Notamacropus eugenii: one gene and its partner. The protein of the gene in region 2 purifies or fractionates together with the protein of the main gene of each other region. This does not show direct contact. Links are inferred from orthologs where the notes say so. Each region holds a gene or a part of one and is shown on either strand. Other genes may lie near its edges.

Region 1 (8,075 bases), on a different chromosome or scaffold from region 2:
CTTCTTCTGGAGCTCTAGGCCCACAGATTGTGTGGGGATCGAATGGCTGACAGTACACCCCACCCCCACTGGAAGCAGAGAACTACCCTAACAAAGAGCTCAAAAGTCAAGTAAAGACCTGGGGAAATGAGCAAAAACTGGAAAACAAAATCAGACTATAAAATATTACTTTGGTGACAAGGAAGACCAAAGTATACAAACAGAAGACAACAAAGTCAAAGCTCCTCCATACCAAGCCTCCAAGAAAAATATGAATTGGTCTCAGGCCATGAAAGGGTTCAAAAAGGAGAAGTAGAGCAAAGATTGGGAAGAATGAGAGTGATGCAAGAAAATCATGGGAAATGAGTCAACTGTTTGTTAAAGGAGACCCAAAAAATGCTGAAGAAAATAATACTTCAAAAAATAGACTAACCCAAATGGCAAAAGAAATCCAAAAAACCAATAAGAAGAATGCTTTAAAAAGCAGAATTAGCCCTATGGAAAAGGAGGTCCAAAAGCTAACTGCAGAAAATAATTCCTTAAAGATTAGAATGAAACAGATGGAAACTAATGACTTTATGAAAATCAAGAAATTGTTTTTAAAAAGCCAAAATAATGAAAAAATAGTAGACAATGTGAAATATCTCACTGGAAAAACTGCTGACCTGGAAAATAGATGCAGGAGAGACAATTTAAAAATTATTGGACTACCTGAAAGCCATGATTTAAAAAAAAAAAAAAGCCTAGAGATCATCTTTCAAGAAATTATCAAAGAAAACTGCCCTGATACTGTAGAACCAAAGGGGAAAATAGATATTGAAAGAATCCACCAATCACCTCCTGGAAGAGATCCCAAAAAGAAAACTCCTAAGAATACTGTAGCCAAATTCCAGAGCTGTCAGGTCAAGAAGAAAATATTACAAGCAGCCAGACAGAAGCATTTTGAATATTGTGGAAATACAATCAGGATAACACAAGATATAACAGCTTCTACACTACTGGAGGGCTTGGAATATCATATACCAGAGGTCAAAGGAACTAGGATTAAAACCAAGAATCACCTATCCAGAAAAACTGAGTATAAATACATTGGGGCAGGGGGAGAATGGTCATTCAACGAAATAGAGGACTTTAAGAACATTCTTGAGGAAATGAGCAGAGCTGAAAAGAAAATTTGACTTTCAAACACAAGAATCAAGAGAAGCATGAAAAGGTAAACAGGAAAGAGAAATCATAAGGGACTTACTGAAGTTGAATTATTTATATTCCTACATGGAAAGATCATATTTGTAACTCTTCAGACTTTTCTCAGTATTAGGGTAGTTGGTGGGATTATACACATATAGACAGAAGGCACGGGGGGAGCTGAATAGGTAGGGATGATATCTAAAAAAATAAAATTAAGAGGTGAGAGAGAAATATATTGGGAGGAGAAAGGGAAAAACAGAATAGGGCAAATTATATCACATAAAAGAGGCAAGAAAAAGCTTTTTCAATGGAGGGGAAGAGGAGGGAGATGAGAGGGTAAATGACCCTTACTCTCATCACATTTGGCTTAAGGAAGGAATAACTATGCACACTAAATTTGGTATGAAAATCTATGTTACACTACAGGAAAATAGGGGAAAAGGGGATAAATGGGGAGGTGGGAGGAATGATAGAAGGGAAGTCAAATGGGAGAAGGGGGTAATTAGAAGTAAACACTTTTGAGGAGAGATAGGGTCAAGAGAGAGAATAGAATAAATGGGGGCAGGATAAGATGGAGGGAAATATAGCTAGTCTTTCACAATATGACTATTATGGAAGTGTTTTGCATAATTACACATGTATAACCTATATTGAATTGCTTGCCTTCTCAGTATGGATGGGTGGGGAGGGAGGAAGGGAAAATAGTTGGAACTCAAAGTTTTAAAAACAGATGTTAAAAATTGTTTTTACATACAACTGGGAAATAAGATATACAGGCAATGGTGTATAGAAAACTATCTTGCCCTACAAGAAAATAGAGAGGATGGGGATAAGAGAAGGAAGGGGTGTGATAGAAGGGAGGGCAGATTGGAGGAAGTGGTAATCAGAATGCACACTGTCTTGGGGTGGGTGGAGGGGAGAGACGGGGAGAAAATCTGGAACTCAAAATCTTATGGAAGTATTTGTTGAAAACTAAAAGTAAATAATTTTTTTAAAAAAGTATAGGCTTGAGTTTATGAGAATTAGCACCAGAATGGTGACTATGTGAACAGAGAGATTTTACATACATATACACATATATACCTATACATATATATGTATACACATCTGTATCTTCATATTTACATGCATGCTTATATTATGTAAGCTTAGGTACATGTAAATATATTTGCATATAAACACATACATGTCTGAACATAGAGGTCTATATACATGTGTATATGTATGTGCATGTGTACATATGTGTATATAATTATTTGAATATAGCAGGAATTATGAACTCTTTCTTCTGAAAGTAAGGATGGTCTACCCTGTAGAAGGGGCTTTGGTGGTGGGAGCAGAAAGAAACTACAAAACATAGTTAGAAAGGGGTCTAGATACCTTTAGCCTCAACAGTATTTCAATAGTTACCTTTAGGGATCGGAGATGTGAGTACTCCCTTTATCATCACTGTCTGCAAGCCATCCATGTCAGCTATCCAATAGAACTCTCACCCATGCTGACTCAGAAATCCTCCTTAGAAGCTAAACCAATGTGCTAGAAGGCTGACTCTAGGACTTTTGCATTCTGCAGCAACTAGTGCAAGATTGAGGCCTTCCAGACATTATCCTTCCCTCTTGCTACTTGACCAGACAATTCTCTTTCTTTTCTGATGATACACTTACTGGATAATCTCTCTTAGGTCACTCTTTGTGCAACAGCCACTGCTGGAAATATTCTAGTGCCTCTTTACGTCCACCACAGAGTGTCCTTTAGCTCATCAACAATTTTTTTTTCAGAGCTTATGCTAGCAAATATATACCATCATGAAGAGAATGTTGGTCTTTAAAAGGATGAATTTTTTTTTTAGGAAGCAATCTGGTATCTCTGAAAGCACATCATAATAATTATATATGTCTAAATGTGGCTCTCAGGGAGGAGAGAACAGCCAGCATGACAGTTTGGGGAAAAGGGAAAAGCAGTAGATAGATAGAGGAAAGGAGAACAAAGGGAAGACTGCAGCATAGCCATGCATGGGCATTCTTTCCTCCAGTCCCCAAGAAAGAGGATAGATACTAAACTTGAATTATATCTATAATTCCCCCAAATATTGCTGATTTAAGGATACATAGGTTCAGAACAAACCAGTCTTCCTTGCCGCTACCCCTTAAAAGAGGAAATGTAACCCTTAGTTTACATTCACTAATTCACTTACATTCCTTCCCACAAAATGCTAGCTATACAAAAAAAAAAAACTGCAAATAGTGAATAGCAAGTAAACCCATTCATTAAAATAAATAGAAAACAGAAATCATAGAAGTTACATAGATTAGACTATACAGAAAAAATACAGAGGCTCCAATTTTACCTAAGGGGAAATTTTCTGTAGTCTCTAGAGAGGCAAGTTGGAGATCAGAGAAATGTTGAGAACCAGCTTCCCCTATAAACATAAATCTTCTAAAGTCTTTCTCTCTCTCTCTCTCTCTCTCTCTCTCTCTCTCTCTTTCTCATATGTGTGTGTGTGTATATATATATATATATATATATATATATATTCCCCACAATCATTTCCTCCCATTTTCCATGAAATCTCTGCATCCATGTCCTCCCCGCCATCTGGATAGCAGTTGCCCCCAGTAGCTCTGATTCTCCTTCTGAGGAAGGATCCTTAGCATTGAGACATACCACTCCCTAAGGTATTGTTCTTTCTAAGCATAAAATCTCTACAAATTATACCCATTTAAGGCCCCCATTTACCATTACAGAATAGTTCTTCTCTCTTCATGGGAATACTTTACAGTGGGACTCCTTTTCACCACTTTTCACCACCACCCCTTTTCAGCCCTTCAAATACTTGTAGGTTAAACATCCCCATTTTCTTCAACCAGTCCTCCTACAATATGATCTATGGCCCCTCAACATTAACTATAAGACATTTTAAAATGTGCAAGTATACATTTAGAAACTGAAAGATTGTGATTAAGGTTGGAGTTAGACTAATAAAAAGAGTTTAACTCTTAGAGGAACCTGAGAGTTTGAAAGGGTACATGGTGGATGGGAAATTATTAAAGTTGGCTGAAGAAAATATTCTTCAAGATGCTTGCCTTAGTAATAATCAGAACATCTATCCATATACAAATGCGCAAGATCATCCAGAGTTGCACTTAGTGAAAGGCATACAAATGTAAAACGATCCACTCTCTATGGGTCTCTGTCCTACCTCACTCTCTATACCTCCAAACTAAGGTTAATTCCTGCTCGTCCTAGGCGGAGATTGTTATACCCTGGAGTTCGGCAGGGAAAGTGTTGATCCCCCTTTACAAATGAAGACACTGAGCCTCCAACAGCTAGGCATTAGGAGCCCTGGTCTTCCAACCATAGAGCTCTGGTGAGCAAACGTGAACACAAAGGCACACGGAGGACAACGTCCGAGACAAGGCGGTCCTCACCCTCCGGTGACCGTCCAGCGGGGGAGACCGAGGCAAGCACGGGGAGCTGTGTCCGGGAGACACAGGAAATAAGGCAGAGGGGGAGCGCTGGGACCAGGGGAAGGCTGCTCGTCATGTTATCTATCATCATTATTATAATTATCATTATTACTGCTATTATTTAGGCAGCTCTTAATAAACATCTCTTCTTTACCTTTCTCCCTCAAATCCCCGCCTCCTCGCCCTCCTTGGGATCCGGAGCCAATGGTTGGGGCTCCAGCTCGGGAGGCGTGTCCTGGTCTGTGGGCCGCGCTCAGGCTCCTCCCCGCGCGCTCGGGCTCCTCCCCGCGCGTGCCCCTTCTCTCCTCCTTCTCTCCTCCCGAGCCCCGCCCTCCCCGCGCGCGTCCTCGCTCCAGACCCAGAGCGAGGCTCCCGGAGGCGACTCCTCCTCACCCTCGGAGTCTGAGGGAGGCGGGAGGAGAGGAAGCTGGTGGGCGGGCCTTGGCCCAGCGGGGTGGGCGTGTCTTCGGCTGGGCCTCCTGAGGGAGCTCGCCCGTTTTTCCCGTTTTCTCCGTTGTCTCGAGAACCATGGACGCTCAGGGTCTGAAGGTGAGCGAGGGAGTCCCTGAGAAGGGGGCGGGGGCTGCGGTGAGGCCCGCCGCGGGGCGGGGGATGAGAATGAGGAAGGCCCAGGGGGCCGTGGAGGCTGTTGGGTTCCGGGCGTGGTGCCGGGCCCGTGGGGACCCCGCGGCTCCCCCCTCCCCTCCTCTCTACCCCCAACGCTGGGGTCACCGTAGCTGAGTCTGACGGTTGGACCGTCCCGGTCCCTTCTTCTGACCCCGAGGCCGCACGATGCCCTGGTCTCTCAGAGTGAAGTGGTTCAGATCCGTTCAGTCCACAGTTATTATGCGCCTACTGCGTGCGGGTAGAGCCTGGGATGTCGAAGACGACCCGGGGTCGGGTCCTGGCTCTGGTTCTGAATGGGCGTGGGCCGGGCTGACTCTTCGATGTCCTGGCTTCTGGAAGGGCTGAGCTCCGAGTGCCGATGTGGCCCCTGTGACGGTGCACGCAGCCCTCGGTCCTTTGGCTGCCTCTGTTTCCCCATCTGTACAATGAGGACAGTTCTAGGGTTGTTGTGAGGATCGAATTGGGATAATTTTTTAAGTGCTTTGCGAATTTTAAAGCACTGTATAAGCGATCACTAGCTGTTGTTATCAGAACCATGGAGGGAGCTTCCACACCAGGATGAATTCCCTCCCAGCCCCTGTCGGCACTCTGACTTCTCACTCCTAAAATGTGTGTTTGCTGTTGAAATGTAACAGAATGAATGTTCCTTTAACATCGGTGGATTTCCTGTACAGCCTGTTGGGGATTGTCTAATTGAGAGGAGGGAGCTAATTCCTCTTCTCCTAATAAAAAATAAAGAATGTGTTTGAGTAGAAGGGGAGAAAACGGGTTGAATTCTGAGACCATGCTTAAACACCAGAGGCTGGTTTAATGGGCCCTTTCCTTCCCACACCTCCCATTTTCTTCTCCCAATTTAGGGCTGCGCAGGTCTTTCCTCAAGCTTCCCTGAGAAATGAGGGTCATGAGGAGGGGACTGAGATTAGGTGTAATACAATGGGATGTGTTATGTTTGGCAGCTGGAAAATCAAGCAGTGTAGATGCAGTCTAAGGATTGTAGCCGGTATTGTTCCCGCCCCCTAGGTTAGAGATAACAGGAATGAGAAGGATGAATGTTCTGATAAATTCCTTATGTGCAAATCTAGTCACATCCCTCCTCTGCTCAGAAACTTCCCATGGTTCCTCACTGCTGCCAAGTAAAGTTCAGGTTCCTCTGCCTGGCATTCAAGGCCCCTTTACAACCTTAGGCCAACATACCTTTTCAGCCTTTTTGGACATGTATTATGTTGTATTAATAATACATGTATATGTACTATGTATTATGAACATGTATTCTTAAGTCAGCTTGTCAGGTTCTTCCTTGTGCTTAGAAGGCATCTGACATTAATTTTGCTTGGCACCATCTCACATATACTTTAAATGCCACTTTGAAGCCTTCCTTGATCTCTAAATTCTTATCAGCTTCCCTTTACAGAGCTTTACTTTGTAATTTAATACATGATATTACAGGATGTTTGGTTGATTCTAATGCCGTTACTAAACAGTAATCTTCTTTAGTGGATTATGAAATTTGGGGGAGAGAGTACAGTGTTTCTGAGAACCAAGCTCAGTATCTGTATTAAGAGTTTCTTCTTGTTATTTTAGATAATTTCATCTGTGCTTTAGATTTATTAGTATAGCCATGTCTTGTTTATCCATTTATCAGTAGGTGAGAATTCTCAAATAAATCCTTGATCTTTTATCCTTGTGGATATATTCCCTCCAGTGATACGGATCGTAACTCCTCCATGCCGTTCTGTCAGATGTCCTTCTATGTGTAACACATGCTGAAGCATTTCCTCAGTTTCCCTTGCTATAGAGGAGATAACCATTGGACCTCACTGGTCATTCAGCAGGTTTTTTTTTTCCTTCCCTTCCCTGGATCTAGCCTATATTTTTGTTTTTATCAGATATTTCTCTGATGATACTCTTTCTTCTGGGTTTTATTCATAATTCATTAGTGTAATGTATTTCATCCTCACAGCCACCTTGTGCTTCTCCATTGCAGTCAAAGTGATTCACAATCTTAATTCTTCCAAGTCTGTAGTGTTCCATGATTCAGCCACATGTTGACACTGGTAAAATATTAGCAGTAAACACATAGACCTTTATCTTATGGAGAAGTTTGAGGTCATTAATGGAATGCTATAATTTTCCATAGGCAATCCAGTGGATTCTCTTCCTCATGTTCAATTCTGTACCCAACTTACCCATTTGCTGTATCTTTCCAAGGTACAGATATACTTAAGGACACTCTTTAGGTTGTCCTTCTAACTGTATATACAGTAAACATTGTTTATCCACCTTGTTTTTCCTGTACAGATGATTAGACAACACTTTTTTTTAGAGATTATTGGTCTCATCCAGGAAGCTCTTCATTGTTACGAGGCTTGATGCAACTAGTATGATATTATTCACAAATTGGATCATCTACATATCTATAAAAGCCTTTGATAGCTTCCTTAAGATTTTGTTTTGTTTTTGAGTACTGACATTTTCTTTTTCTTACATCACCCTGGCTATTCCAAGTACTCCTTCTCCCCCGCCCAAAGAGCCATGTTGTCCTTGTTGTCATCATTGCTGTCATTTTAGACTTATCTGACTCTCTGTGACCCCATTTTGGGTTTTCTTTCCAAAGATACTGGAGTGGTTTTCGATTTCCATCTCCAGCTCATTTTACAGATGACAAACTGAAGCACACAGGGGTTAAATGACTTACCTAGGGTCACACAGCTATTAAATGTCTGAGGTCAAATCTGAACTCAGGTCCAGTGCTCTGACCACTGAACCACTCAGCTTCCCTGAGCAATCTCAGAAGCAGTTTTTAGAAAGAAAAAA
Region 2 (7,262 bases):
CCCTTTCCCGCTGAGAGCGATGATTAGTCTGGCCCAGCGTGGTGGGCTTTGCTGCCCCGGGCAGTGATCGGTTTTCTCTGTCTGCTTGTTTTGTTGTCTGATCTCTAGGCATGGGTGAGGATCCTTGCTCATCTCCCCGACGTATTTCCCCAGGCAACATGAGGCTACTCACGGTCCTTCCCTCCTCGACTGTTGATGCCTCCCAGGAAGAAACCCAAAAGTCAGTCCCGGAAACCACAACTGGCATTCCGAGAGGGGCCTCTGGAGGGTCCCATGCATCCCTATGGATCCCCACAGCCAGCCGCAGCCCTCCCAAGGCATGCTCGGGTCAAACCAGTAGATCACCAGACCATCACCTCTTGGGTAGGACCAGCGAGTTCTTACACTGGGTGCTTTGGGTACGAGGTGACTCATATTGTGGGTACTGTCTTTGACCCACATCAGGAGGAAGGTCACTCACCCACTTAGTGGTACACAGGAGCAAGAGGCCCTAATTCCTAAACCATAACTCCTCAACCAACTGCTCTTCCCCTAAGTTGTAAAAATGGGCAGTTGCTGAGAGAAGAGCTAGATAACTGGGGGCTGATCAGGAAATAGCCAATCAGAGGGAGAATTGTTGACATTTAGACTGGCTTTACTTTGCCCTGCTATTCTTTTTAAAGAGCAGTGACTACAGTGGGGAATTTTGGGACATTGTGTTCATTTTCTTGCTGGAAGGTCTCATCCTTCCCTCCCTACCGTTCATTCATCCCCCTCCCCCCCCCCCCAAAAGACTAAAGAGTAGTCTGAAGATTCAGTAATAATGTGCTTTTGCTTTGGTGTTCCCTTGTTACTGTTGACCTTTAGTGGCTGGCCTGATAAATCAAGACCTTACCTACACCAATTAGCCAATAATACCTTCAGGAACACTTGAACCCACCTTTTTCCTTTTCTCTCTCCCAACCACTGATTCAGTCAATCAGCAGGCATTTGTTAATAGCTTTTATTAAGTGACAGGCACAGGGGATACAAATACAATTAATTGAACAATTCCTATTTGAGAAGTTGTTTATATTCCAAAAGATAAGACAATATGTACATACATATATGTGTTCATATCTTTCTAAACATACATATGCATTCACATGTATGGATATGTAGAATACAAAGTAGTTAAAGACTAGTAGTTTAGTAGGGAGGGCATTAGCATTAGTAGGGGGATTTGTACATGTACAAGGTGGTGCTTGGGCTGTGTCTTAAAAGAAGAGAGATTCTAAGAGAACAGATATGAAGAGGAATTACATTCAAGGCATGGGGGCAGCCATGGAAAAGCATAGAGATAGGAGATTGTCTTGTGTGAGGAACAGAGGAAAGGTCAGTTTTGACTGGACTGTGGGAGGGGGAGTGTTCACTGAGGCTGGAAAGATAGTTTGGGTTCAGGTTGTGAATGGCTTTAAAAGGTAAAGTTAATATTTTATCTTAGGGGCCATAGGGACTTGCTAGATAGAGTTTACTGAGTAGGAGAGTGACAAGGACAGAAACAAGATTCTGAGCATTCTTAAAAATGCAGGGTCTGATGATAAAAGTAGCGGCATGATATAGAGAAGAGAAATGTATTTTTCTTTGGTCCCAGATACTGTATGTTCTTCTTTAGATACATTGTTTACTATCTAATAGCCTGCTATAAAGTAACACCACACACTGGAAAGTTTTAACATTCTGAAGACTCCAGCTGAAAGAGTTTTGGATTATGTTGTGAGAAAGAAGTAGAAGTTAAGAGCAGGGGCCAATTTTGGACTTCAGCTTCTGCTTAAAGAGTGCTTTAAAAAATGACTTGTTAGAAGTTGTTGGAAAAGCAATAATCCATACTCCAGGAATAGGGTAGATACCTAATAAAAATAACTCACAAAGTTTTATATAGTGTTTTTCTCATAAAAATCCTATAACTTCATAGCAGGTTTCAAACCCAAAGCTCCTGATTCCAAGTCTGGTGCTCATGCCTGTAGAAAATGAGCTCATTTTAATGTGGATAGGCTCTCATTTTAGAAAACTTGAGCATTATATCTGTGGCTTCTTGAATGGAGATGAAGTAATTTCCAGCAATGTTTGTGGTTCTGGGCTGACAGCTTCTGTTTGTTTCTTAGGTGTCTCCTCAATTTGAGAAAACAGGAGACTGGTTGCCAGTCTACCAAAAACAACATCAGGTGCCTTACAATCTTCAGAACCTGGCAAAAGTTTCTCGAAAAGCAACCAAGAAGAGGTTTCCACCTCTGTCCTTTGAGAGTTCAGTGTCTTCTTCCAGTGAAGCTGCTTTGGACAATCTCTCAGTTATGGACTTCCCTATACAGTGTCCAAAAGACACTGCCAGAAAGTCCTTGGTTCCTCTATTGAGTCCTCAAAGCTGTGCGGAATTGTCCTCTCATGACCTTCAAAATTCAGGTTACATGGTTATCCCACCTGATATCCAGACCCCAGAACAGTCCCCTGTGAAGGACAGTGGGCATATTCCCACAGACCAGAGGCAGCATATGAGAAAGAGCTGCCCTCTCCTAATGGATCCTCCCAAGAGCCCAGACCCTGGCCCTGTACTGGTTGCAGACACACCAGAGGAGAAATATGGGCTGAAGGTAACTTGGAGAAGACGGTATCAACTTCTTACTTACCTCAGGGAGAAGGGGAAATTGAGCATGAGCCAGTTTCTTGTGAAGACATGAGTGGAACCTTGAAATACTGATTCCTTTTTACCAATAACTTGGATCCAGAAGGGCAGAAATTTACATTGCCCCATGGATGGTTTTTATAGTGCTGCTAAATCCAATTTCTGGCCCTTGAAGAGATTAAATCAATAGACTCAAGTGTCATTTAGAACCTTTGTGGTCCTTCCTGTTGATTTAATAGGGAACCAAAAGCACCAGAATGATTATGTGAACTAAAGCTGAAGTTCCATAATCTGTTTTTTGGTATTGCTAGTTACTGGCATAGTATACACAGACCATTCTTTTTATATTTTTCCTCCTGATATTTATCCAGTTTAAAGGTAATTCATAGCAGATAGAAGGGAAATGGTTATACAATATTTCTAACAAATTGTAAATATGCACTTAAGGGTGGGAAGATAACTTTTAGAAAATATTAAAAATGTTTACAAATAAATGCAGAAAACTGTTAGTGAATGCTGCCTCTTTTGTTTGTAGTAGGCCAGTATTTCATACTTAACCAAATGCCTCCACTCATTAGGTGGCATAAGTGCCTGAAGAAAGGAAAGCCCCTAGCTGGTCAGGAGAGGGCAAGTTTGGGGTTCTTCTGATAGACTGAAGAGCTCAAGGTAGTCTAGGGCAGGTCTAAGACTGAGCAAAGAAAATTCTATAAATGACCAGAGGAAGAGCAGGTTTAGGGCGGATGGAAGGGAAGGGAATAAGCATTTATGAAATGCCTAATATATGTGCCAAGTGCTAAGCAGTAGGACTTAATCGTGTTCCAGTTTTCCAGGGTAGCGAGATTTCAAGAAAGTGTTATTTCTTCTTGTGCAAAGAAAGCTTTGCACAAGGAATATCCTTTGTCAGACAACTACTCTCATTTTGAAAGAGGAGAAGACAGGGGATATGGGTTTAATTTACAAACATTCTCTCATTTGAACCTCAAAACAACTCTTGGAGGTAAGTGTGCTATTATTCCTGTGTTACAGTTGGAGACACTGAGGTGAACAGGTTAGGTGACTTGCCCAGGGTCTCAGAGCTGTCACAAGCGTCTGAAGGCACGTTTGAACTCTGAGCTTCTAGATCCTAGACGGGCTAGACCTCCACCCACTGGACCACCTGGATAGGTCTTTGCCCTCTTCAGAGTAGGTGTTTCGGAGATGGGCGTAGCGGTGGGCCCAGATTCTTGGTAGCCCAGAGGCTAGTAGCAGAGCTGGTGGGCCGCTCCCCCGGACAGGGGCCGCACCTAATCCCGCCGCAGCGGGCTGCGTCGTCTCGGCTTGGCCACGAGAAGAGAGGCTGCTCTGTGGCCTGCTGGAGGGCGAACTGGGGACGCGTGGAAGGAGGGAAGACTACGAGGTCTGCCACCGGGGTAGGTGTTGCCCCAGTTCCCGTCCTTTTCCCCACATCCCAGGCGCGTAACTCCAGGGCCAACAGCTCCCACGCAGGCGCTCTGCGCTCCCTCGCCCCTTCCCCTCTCCTTAGAAACCCTCCCGCATCGCCGGACGGGAGCGACAGCCAATGAAGCGGCGGCGGCGGCGCTCCGGACCAATGGGGGGTGGCGGTGGTGCGGGGTCCGGTTGCCAGGGGGCGGGCGGCGGCGGCGGCGTCTGGAGCCGGGGTCGGAACCGTCGGGACTGGATGCAGCTCCCGATTGCCGAGCGGCTCGGGATGGAGGCGGCGCGCCACAGACTCGGGCCCGGCGGGGATAGGTCAGCGCTGGGTAGTGGTCGGTCTCCTCCTGGGATCGGGGAGAACGGAGCTTGGCTGTGGAGGTCGGGGCTGAGTGGTCAGGCCTGGGGGTCGAGGGCCGGTTGGGCTCGCGGCGGGCCTGGAGGGAGGGAAGGGCGCGCCTGGAGGTGGGGAGCCGGGGGGCCGGCCGCGCTGCCCCCACCTCGGAAGCTGCTCCTTCTTGCCCCTTCTCCGCCCCAAAAAGGAGGGGTCCCATCTTCTTCTTCTGCCGGCACTAGGCCTCATTTTTTTTCCTTATTGGAGGATAAAATGAGGATCTGCTTTCAAGGGATGCTGTATCCAAATAATATCAATAAAATCAAATCGAATGTGTTCATTTTTGAGGACATCGAGGCAGAAGTGTTGTTGGGTAGGAGCTAGTAACTGACCCTAACTTCCATGTTTTGGGGACGTTACCAGGAGGCTGAAAGTGCAAAATTAGTTTGCAAATACAAAGTATTCTTAGTTCTGGATTTTTCGAGATCTTTGTATACAGTTTGTGCGTTACCTAGAAGCAGTGCTTTTCTGTTCATTCTCTTCCAGCCGCCCCTCTTTTCCGTCTCCATCAGAGGGAGAGTTGGGGAAATAAAATCATCTGAAATCTGTTTTCCTTTGTTTCACACACATTCATATATAGCCTGTCAGTTTGCAAAGAACTTTTCCCATAACAGTGCTGTGATGTGGGTAGTAAGGATTAATTACTCCTATTTTACAGATTAGTACAGACTAGGTGTTCTAAGATGAAGTGGTATATGCTTGGTCTTCAATTCTGATGCTTTCCACTATGCCAGGTTGCTTTTTTTTTTTTATAAGGTGTTGAGAGGGCAGCCTGAAACTTGAGAATGTTGAAATCTTTAGGGAAGGACATTAAGCTTATTTGTAAACCTAAATGAATGTTTCCTTACAGATAAAGATCTGGTCAGTATAAATTTTAATTCAGTGCAGTCAGAGAAGTTGAATACTTCCCCAACAATTTCTCCTTCCTTTCCAAACACACTGATTTCTAGGGAGCTGTGGATTCAGCAACTTTGGGCAGTAAAGTAAATAAATTAGTGAACAGATGTCAGAGAGTACATTTGGCTAAGAATGGAACTCAATAAAAGAAGATGGGTCCTTTCCCGCGCCCCTTTATTGAGGGGTAGGTACGAGGTATGTTCTAGGTATAGTAGGTGTTCAAATATTTATTCAATAAATATTTAAATACTCAAGGATCTTTGATTTCATTTGGTCTAAGTACTCCACTGATGAAGATGACAACTCCTTTCACTACTTAACGTAAATTATTATGTTAATGATGAGTTGCTCTGAATAGACATAATGCTCTTAGGAAAGAGTAGAGAGGGAGAGACACAACCCCTTTTTTAGTCAAGTTCCATTCATTTGGTACTCTCAGAAACCTGTTCACTGATTTTATTTATTTTACTGTTCAAAGCAGCTGTATCCACACTTTTTTCTTCTCAGACTTCAGTGTGTTTGGAAAAGGATGAGAAATTGCTACGGTCATATTCCATTTCTCTGATTGCATTTATTGAGTGAATGCAAGATACTACACATATAGTAGGTATTCAAATATTTATTGAATGACTAAAACTTCAGGCATATCTAATGTCATTGTTGTGAGTGTTCCCTCTGTTGATGTAGATGACAACTCCTTTCACTACTTTCTTTAATAATTTATCCTAGTGTAATTCTGTGAGTAGAATGGACTTGGTATAACTAGAAAAAAAAATGTGTTCTCATCTTGTGTTCTGGTGATGAACTTTTCATGACTTAGCTAGACAGACATCAGCCTGCTGGATGGATTAAAGTCTCACTTGGAAGAACCTGCTGTGCTGGAACCAAGGTCATCACCCCCCACCCCTAAGCAGGACTTTGGTGGAGGATTGAATAAATGAAGGAATGAATCCAAAATTTTGTTACGTGGGTATTAGTTAATGTTTTATATGACTAATGGCTTTTAAAAATAGGCTTTTCCGAACCAGTAATCAGGAAGCAAAAAAAAAAAAAATTCCTTGAATCTGAAATCTAAAAAATTAATTTTTAGAAGGGTGAAAGGGCAGGCAAGAGAGAACATCAAGAGAAAAGAAAGCTTTTGTGAACAATGTGGGGAATCTCCACTGGAGCTTAAGTTTTCTTAAAAAAAAATAAATCTTACCTTTAAAAATGAAAACTGACATCAAAAGGTAATTTTTCAATCAGGTAAGTTTTTGTTTCTACCAAGTAATAGCAGTATAGCTTCTGTTACTGTTGAGTTCATCTGTGACTTAGAGAGTGTGAATTCACTTTGATTTTTAGGTTTCAGATTTTTTATTTTTTATCAAAGATGTGGACAAAGAAATGCTTTTCATTGTAGGGGTAATAAACTGGAGGTAGGCTAGGTTCAAAAAATTACAAATGTATATTAAAAGTATGGGTAATCTGTAACTTAAAATTTGTATTTGTATCTATTTTGCCTTGAAGTGGACATGTTCTTTTAATAAATAGAAAAGTCTTCAAAGCAAAGTAAACCTTCCCTAAATCTTAAATTAGAAGCCAAATTTGTGATTTTGATGGGGATTAAATCACAGGAGCCATTTGGGAATTGACTATTAAACTTCTTTCTTATGATAGGGCTTGGCAGAACCATGTTCTTCTGATGAAAGAGAATATCTAGAAATCAGTTTTAGTTGTGGCTCATTTTCAGACCTGAAAATTCTTCCATCAGCTATGATTTCTCTTTAGATGTTAAAAATAAAACTTCAGTTTCTGCTCTTATTTCATCCAAAGCAAACTTTTTCATTTTCTTTCTCTTTCCCTTAGTCCCTCAGAGTTTCATCAGATTTATTAATTATTGTTGCAAAATATACATACACCATG

The links. The genes of interacting proteins can lie anywhere in the genome.
Region 1: the proteins of TULP3 (region 2) and TTC21B purify together in Homo sapiens (affinity purification with mass spectrometry; 5 studies listed by BioGRID and IntAct, counting the BioPlex papers as one, with this or other methods). This does not show direct contact. The link is inferred for Notamacropus eugenii from reciprocal best matches to the Homo sapiens genes TULP3 and TTC21B.

What each region holds. Positions count from the first base shown.
Region 1 is NC_092876.1:226,619,810-226,627,884, reverse strand, and holds the start of TTC21B (tetratricopeptide repeat protein 21B), read left to right. Parts: upstream 1-4,976; 5' UTR 4,977-5,162; coding exon 5,163-5,183; intron 5,184-8,075. UniProt on the Homo sapiens protein: Component of the IFT complex A (IFT-A), a complex required for retrograde ciliary transport and entry into cilia of G protein-coupled receptors (GPCRs). Essential for retrograde trafficking of IFT-1, IFT-B and GPCRs.
Region 2 is NC_092874.1:202,994,378-203,001,639, reverse strand, and holds the start of TULP3 (tubby-related protein 3), read left to right. Parts: upstream 1-4,181; 5' UTR 4,182-4,196; coding exon 4,197-4,387; intron 4,388-7,262. Other genes in the region: RHNO1 (RAD9, HUS1, RAD1-interacting nuclear orphan protein 1), read left to right, coding at 196-363, 2,124-2,693. UniProt on the Homo sapiens protein: Negative regulator of the Shh signaling transduction pathway: recruited to primary cilia via association with the IFT complex A (IFT-A) and is required for recruitment of G protein-coupled receptor GPR161 to cilia, a promoter of PKA-dependent basal repression machinery in Shh signaling.